Kluyveromyces lactis: one gene and its partner. The protein of the gene in region 1 interacts with the protein of each later gene in a biochemical or structural test. Links are inferred from orthologs where the notes say so. Each region holds a gene or a part of one and is shown on either strand. Other genes may lie near its edges.

Region 1 (4,592 bases):
TAATTGGTTCCGACATATATTGTGGTAAAGCGTTAATTCTTCAGGGTCATTTGCAATTTCATCCAACGGCCAACCCAAATTATTGAATGGAATTGGAATTCCCAATAGTAAGGAGAGGGTAGGCACCAGGTCAATCTGGTTCATTTGCTTATATGAAGTACCCAGATCTGTAGTATTATAACTGTCGTAATCCTTACTCCAGTTGGCATTCTTCGCGTATAGCCAAAGGACACTTTCCAACTCGTCTTGCGAATCACCACCGTGGTTTCCTGTGTGGTCCATACCGTGATCACCCATAACAACGTATAACGTGTTATCATCTGCAGTGCTTATAATTTTCCGCAATAGCTCATCAACTTGAAGCTGTTTTTCCTTCATGGTAAAATGATTAGGACCGTACTTATGTCCGACATGATCAACTCCTAACATATGTCCGATCAAGATATCGTATTCAGACCGTTTCTCTTCATTGAAATAATACTCCTCTAAGTAAGAAATAACCCCATTATCGACTGTGTCTAAATCCCAAACGTTCAAGGATTCATATGGTACACTTTCTGGAGCCAAATACGGATTAAATAGGGCATCCCAAGTGTCATCACCGGCAAAGAATATTTTCTTGTTATGCAGATAAAGCTGTTTTATTAAGTTATCCTCATCGATCACATCACCATTGAAATTCGATCCTGCATCTATAAATGTAGGCAAGGAACCTGTTGTCAATCCCTTTAATCTTTGTAGCGTAGTTGTGGGAGGATCAGCCAAAAACTTCAACAAGACAGAATCCGTTGAGTTATGGGCCGTCTCATAAAGAACTTTCAAATTGTTATGATAATTAGGGTTGTACTTGGCATGATTTTCATCTACTGGAATAACGAAATCAAACCTCAATGCGTCCACTATTAGTAAAACCATCTTATCGTATTTAGCTTCGAAGGGAAGCTGGGGATCAAGTTCTGCAACGTTATCCAACACCGTCCTTGTTAAAAGGAACCCTTTTGCGAAAAATGCTATGGAAATAAACTGCAATACAGCCAAAGAAGCAAGTAATAGTATGTACAGAGTGTGCGTAGACTTGAACCTTGATATCCGATAGCTCATTCGACTGGACCTCGTTTGAGGCCCCATTATGCTGAGTCTAATTCTCTCTGCCCGATCTCGTTCATCACTAACAGTGGGATTCATCACTTCTTACCAGTTTCCAAACGGGACAAAAACACAACTAAACGAAAGTACAATAAATTCACGTTGAATAATGATATTGTGCAGAAGAATTGAGTCACACTGGCGAAAGTGGTTCGCTTATCTCTCGCCTCTGACAGAGTTCTTGTTACCACTTTATTTCATTTTAAAGGTTAATTTCTTTTAAAACAGAACAATTGTACATCACGTGATCATTGTTCCCTCTTCAAATAATGCAACTCCAATTCTGATCGGCGAAGATACTGACCATTGAGCTGAGTGGATCCATGGTATTATCAACGGTGGCAAGGGCTCATTAGAACCTTGTTTATTTCAATTTGTTCTGTTTTCTTCTTTAGGAAATGTAACTATGTAACCAAAAATGTGTAAAATCTTAACGAGTTTCACTTAGTTCACTCAAAGCATCTCAAACAAGATAACATTATCAATTGAAAGGTGATATATCAGGGAACCTAGGATTATTTAGCTGCTTAGTAGGTTTGATAAAATTGCTGAATTAGCATTTGGATAATAGTGGCAGTATATATCCATAGAACACAGGAAGACAAACGGTTAACAATATTATGTCCTCACCTCCAGCTCAACAACCAAGTTCACCAAATTTGTTTTATGATCCTAGCTCTTCTCCAGCTCCTCATGGTACACAGGATTCCCAGGCATCTCAAGACCGAGGCGTAGGCTCTTCTCCGTTTCACTATCCTTCGTCTTCGTCAAATGCCACGCAAGAGACGGCTCGCGCCGCTCCTAGTAGCAGTGGTTTAAGATCTAACAATTTGAGATCTGATCTATTGAACTATTCATCCTCTCTATCCTCAAGTGCAAGAGAGGGAAGACACTCTAGATCTAGAAGAGGCGAAATTAATGCATCTGACTTATCATCTCCCAGAAGAATTGTCACTTTCAATAACCTTTCCTCATCGGATAATGGATTTTCATCATCATCGAGACCTGCATCTGAAGCTGCTGATCAACCTTTGAAGATCATCTGGGGTACCAATGTTTCGATCCAAGAGTGTGGTAACAGTTTCAGAGAATTTTTGATGTCTTTCAAGTTGAAATATAGAAAGGAGCTAGATGATCAGGAGATTTTCATCAACGAAACAACAGACCAAGAGCTGTATTATGTGAATCAATTGAATCAAATGAGACAACTCGGTACTTCAAACTTGAACCTTGATATCAGAAATTTACTGGCTTATAAACATACTGAAAAGTTGTTTCATCAGATTCTCTATTACCCTCAAGAAATTATAGCTATTATGGATCAAACTGTTAAAGATTGTATGGTATCCTTAGCACTTGATAATGGGTTAGAGAGTTACTTGAATGAAATTGAATCGAAGTTGTTCAAAGTGAGACCATATAATGTGGAAACCAAAAAGGGTATGAGAGAGCTTAATCCTAATGATATTGATAAATTGGTGAGTATCAAAGGTTTAGTTCTAAGATCCACACCTATTATCCCAGATATGAGTGTTGCATTTTTCAAATGTAACGTATGCAATCATACTGTAGAAGTTGAGATCGATCGTGGTATTATTCAAGAACCAGTGAGATGTCCCAGAGTGGTCTGTAATAGCCCAAACTCCATGGTTTTAGTTCACAATAGGTGCACTTTCCAAGACAGACAAGTGATAAAGTTACAAGAAACGCCTGATCTAGTCCCTGATGGACAAACTCCACACTCTGTTTCCCTATGTGTATATGATGAGCTGGTTGATTCGTGTCGTGCTGGTGATAGAATTGAGGTTTCAGGTATCTTTAGATCTATTCCAATCAGGTCGAATCCAAAGCAAAGAGCCCTCAAATCTCTATACAAGACATACATCGATGTGGTTCATATCCAAAAGGTGGCTAAAGATAGAGTCGGTGTGGACACTTCTACTGTTGAACAACAACTCTTGCAGAACCAGATTGATAATGTGGAAGAGATTAGAACTTTGAGTAGCGAAGACATTAGGAGGATCAAAGAAACTGCTCGCCGATCGGATGTCTATGATGTTTTGTCACGTTCCATCGCACCAAGTATTTACGAGTTAGATGACGTCAAGAAGGGAATCTTATTACAACTCTTTGGTGGTGCTAATAAAACTTTCAAGAAAGGTGGAAGATATAGAGGTGACATTAATATTCTACTATGTGGTGATCCTTCGACCTCTAAATCTCAAATTTTACAATATGTTCATAAGATTGCTCCTCGTGGTGTTTACACTTCGGGTAAGGGTTCCTCTGCTGTTGGTTTAACTGCTTATGTTACAAGAGATGTGGATACTAAGCAACTGGTGTTGGAAAGTGGTGCTTTAGTTCTCTCTGACGGTGGTGTGTGTTGTATTGATGAATTTGATAAGATGAACGATAATACTAGATCAGTATTACATGAAGTTATGGAACAACAAACAATCTCTATTGCAAAAGCAGGTATTATTACAACTTTAAATGCTAGAACTTCAATTCTGGCTAGTGCCAATCCTATCAACTCTAGGTACAATCCTAATCTTCCTGTGACTGAAAATATTGATTTGCCGCCTCCATTATTATCAAGATTTGATCTCGTTTATCTAGTGCTTGACAAGGTCAACGAAGCGTCTGATCGTGAACTCGCTAAGCATTTAACCAGTTTATACCTGGAAGACAGACCGGATTCTGTATCTCAAGGTGATATTCTACCAGTTGAATTCTTGACAGCCTACATCAACTATGCAAAACAAAACATTCACCCGGTAATAACTGAGTCAGCCAAGACTGAACTTGTGAGGGCATATGTCGGTATGAGAAAGATGGGTGATGACAGTAGATCAGATGAAAAAAGAATTACCGCAACAACAAGACAGTTAGAAAGTATGATTAGACTTTCAGAAGCTCATGCTAAGATGAGGTTAAGTGAAAGAGTTGAACTTGAAGATGTGGAAGAAGCAGTGAGACTGATAAAGTCTGCCATCAAAGATTACGCTACGGATCCTAAAACTGGTAAAATTGATATGAACCTTGTACAAACTGGTAAATCGGTTGTGCAAAGAAAATTGCTTGAAGACTTGGCGAGAGAAATTTTAAAGATATTGACAGAAAGGACAACAGACACAATAAGTTTCAACGAACTAAGCAAGCTTATAAACGAACAATCGCAAGATAAAGTGGAGAGTATCGAATTATCAAACGCTTTGACAAGATTGCAACAAGAAGACAAGGTAGTAATCTTAGGAGAAGGTCTAAGAAGATCAATTCGTTTGAATGGCCGTGTATGAATAGATATTATCAAGTCTAGTTTTTCTGAGAAAGCCTCTACATAGTTTGCAAAGGGCTAAATGAGAATAACGACCTTCCGCATGTTCTGCTTATATACATACGTTCTGTGTATATATCATCGTGAAAGTGTTTGACATTATAATAGC
Region 2 (3,413 bases), about 1.1 Mb from region 1:
AGATTTTGTTATCTTCGACATCAATACCTATCAGACTGTCGACAACGATAAAGTTTATTTCAAAAACAAACTGACAGCCTATGATGGGTTCAAACTGAAAGGTTTAGTGAGAAACACCTATGTTAGAGGAAAATTGGCTTTTGAACTTGACGGCATGGGACATAATAAAAACCCTCCCGGCCAGACAATTCTTGAACGCAGAAGAACATGAAGTACCCCATCTTCTAATCATTTTTTTTTCTTCAATTTTGAATTACCTTTATTTGATGCATGATATACATATTATATATATATCACTTATGATTTAAATTTACCTAGAATATACTTCATTATTATAATTTCTAGAACAGCAATCGTCGGTACAAGAACTATGGAGCAAATTGATATGGTGACCAACCTCGATGCTATTGATTTAACAGTGTGGTGGTTTCTTTCTGCACGTGATTTGTACAGCTTCAAATTTCTTTCCAAGACTTGAAGCTGATCCTCTATTATATTTACAGAATCTTGCAGTGTCCTCACCAGTGAACTATCTATCGTCTCTCCTATCAAACGAGGATCTGCTGGCTTCGGTATCTGATCGAAACATATCTGTACAATGTCTAAATCAACAATCTTAGGATATTCATCACCAATGACACATAACGCATATTCACCAGTATGTTTCGCAGGAAATGTCCATTGCCCTTGCTCTTCGTCATCTTTGTAAATCATAGGATACTCTGTATCGTCCGGAGACCATAATTCATAGCTTACTCTGAAGGCATTGTTTTCTCCCTCTTGTACTGCGAAGTAATAAGATATTTTGCAGTCACTGTCATCAACATCAATGTAAACACATTCTTTCCCATTCTTCTGTAATTGTACCGTTATTGGTGAGCTTTGACAGACAATCACAAGCGAAAATACCCATAACCATGTAAACTTCATATTTAATAAGTTATACATGAAGGTTGCTTTGTGTGTAAATGTCCTTTTATTCGACAATTCCCCTTTTAACGTCCTGTTTCTGTTCATTAATATATGTCATTTCAATGTGAACTACTGCTGTTTGTTATTATATTTGGTTTCGACAATAAAAATGAAAACATCGCCAAAAAATGCATAGAATAAAAGAATCAACGGATATAGCGTATCTGTTCTTGTAGAGTCAAACCAATGGGTATACAGCTCGTCTGTTAGGCTTCATATTAGGTGGCAATATACACACTATAATTATGGATGACATTCCCGCTGAAATCATCCAGGAAATGGATGATTTGTACGATAAGGTACCACAGTTGTCATCCAGATACAAGCTACTGGATAAGATCGGAGAGGGGACCTTTTCATCGGTATATAAAGCTCAAGATCTTAGCAACGTATCTGGAAGGTTATACCCTGATCATTTCTGGGATAAGAATAGTAAACATGTGGCTATCAAGAGGATATACGTGACAAGCTCGCCGAACAGAATTGAAAATGAACTTAAACTCTTAGAGTTACTGTCAAATTCGAATAACGTAGCACCATTATGCGACGCGATTCGATACCAGGATCAGGTGGTTGTCGTCTTGCCCTGGTATCCGCATGAAGAATTCCGGCATTTCTACCGAGACATGCCTATCAAGGGGATAAAGAAGTACATGTTTGAACTTTTAAGCGCCTTGAAATACGTGCACTCATTTGGAATCATTCACAGAGACGTGAAGCCAACCAATTTCCTATACAACCCAATACTTGGGAGAGGTGTGTTAGTAGACTTTGGTTTGGCTGAAGAGAATGAAGAGTTGTACTTGCCTGACCTCAACTATCGTGTGTATGTTAATGACCAGGGAGAGAAGGTTTGTAATTGTTCTTCACCGTATGCTAACAACAAAAAGACATCACATCTGCCGTTGATATCCATTCAGAACGGGCAGCTTAACGTTAGAGGGGCAAATGAATTAAGTGCTGCACAAAGTGAGAATCTCATGAAGGCAGAATTGAGTAAGGGGTACCCAAAACATGAAACTAGGAGGCAGCGTAGAGCTAATAGAGCTGGTACGAGAGGGTTCAGAGCGCCAGAAGTGCTTATGAAATGTTCTTTCCAAACTCAAAAAATTGACATTTGGTCAGTTGGTGTGATACTGTTAAGTTTCATCAGCAGAAGGTTCCCAATCTTTCAAAGCATGGATGATATTGACGCCTTTCTGGAGATATGTTGCATTTTTGGAATCAAGCCCATGCAAGAAGTCGCCAAGTTCCATGGGTTGGGACTAGACATGACAAAGGTTCCAGGTTTCCATTCGGAAGGATATCCTGGGGGGCTACAAGGTTTTGTGAGAGCTTTACTTGACAAAGAAGTGGAGGAAGGAACATTACCAGAGTATTCCATAGCGTTCGAGACGTTGGATTATTTGACACAATTTGACAAACAACTCACGCCAAGTTTAGGCCCAGACGATGAAGAGGATATTGATGATAAAATACGGAGCTACAAACAAGCAGTTTGGGACGATCATTTTTGGTGTTTTGATCTCTTGGCAAAATGTTTCGAACTCAATTCATACAAAAGACCCAGCGCCAGTGATCTTCTTGAACATTTATGGTTCAAAGAACTGAACGAAGATTTACTTGATAGAGATCAAAGAAGAGAAGATCACTTCACCGGGGTCGTTGAGTAATGAAATCCAGAACGAAACAAAAATATTTGACGAAAATTAGCATATATTCACCGCAATAACTTAGAGCAGAACTCATTTTTTATATACATGCATTCATATATAGAGTTCTTTAACCGATAGAGTAATTTAATACTTTGCATTCATCATCATTATTATATTTAGTTTACAAACGTTGCCAACGCTTTGACGGCATAAGTTAGAGAACAAGTGCGTAAATAAACGAGTAAAACAGCGTTATTCACTTAAGAGAGAATGCTATAATACCCCAAGTCAAATATGTATGTGGTGATAGTAATTGGTGAATTCAGAACAAGAATGGGATCAAGAATGCTCTCTTGGTACCATATTTCTTGTTTTTCTTTTGAGCCCACAAGTACATCTGAACCACCGAGACAACAAGGAAAAGAACTGAGAATAAGTTCAACTTGAACAACAAAGTGAAAAACATCCAAGCCCAAGATTCAAAAGTGTAATTTGGAGCGACAAGTAGTTTGAACAACCCAGAATTCAATGGGACTCTCTTCGTGACACCGTTTCTCTTTTGTTCATCACCCCATCTACGCAATGCGACATGGATATAGAAATTGAACATCTCTGACAATCCAAACAAAGCGGTTAAGACTCTGAAATCAGATATCTTGAGAGCGCTGTAAACTCTGTATAAGGTCTTGTTAGCGAATGGGAACCCGTAACCAAAGTAACCCAACGAGATCAACCCGTTCAAGATCCAGTAATGGAAAGAGTTCTTGAACAAATTGAACAATGGCA

The links.
Region 2: of the proteins of MCM4 (region 1) and CDC7, one has a biochemical effect on the other in vitro, tested with the Saccharomyces cerevisiae proteins (9 studies listed by BioGRID, with this or other methods). The link is inferred for Kluyveromyces lactis from reciprocal best matches to the Saccharomyces cerevisiae genes MCM4 and CDC7.

Annotation. Positions count from the first base shown.
Region 1 is NC_006039.1:1,537,560-1,542,151, reverse strand, and holds MCM4 (MCM DNA helicase complex subunit MCM4), read left to right. Parts: upstream 1-1,766; coding exon 1,767-4,445; downstream 4,446-4,592. Other genes in the region: mannose-ethanolamine phosphotransferase GPI13, read right to left, coding at 1-1,185. UniProt on the Saccharomyces cerevisiae protein: Acts as a component of the MCM2-7 complex (MCM complex) which is the putative replicative helicase essential for 'once per cell cycle' DNA replication initiation and elongation in eukaryotic cells.
Region 2 is NC_006039.1:396,682-400,094, forward strand, and holds CDC7 (serine/threonine protein kinase CDC7), read left to right. Parts: upstream 1-1,217; coding exon 1,218-2,645; downstream 2,646-3,413. Other genes in the region: DAL1 (allantoinase), read left to right, coding at 1-211; ERP3 (Erp3p), read right to left, coding at 298-1,017; trans-2-enoyl-CoA reductase (NADPH) TSC13, read right to left, coding at 2,950-3,413. UniProt on the Saccharomyces cerevisiae protein: Serine/threonine-protein kinase. Needed for the initiation of DNA synthesis during mitosis as well as for synaptonemal complex formation and commitment to recombination during meiosis. Required for HTA1-HTB1 locus transcription repression.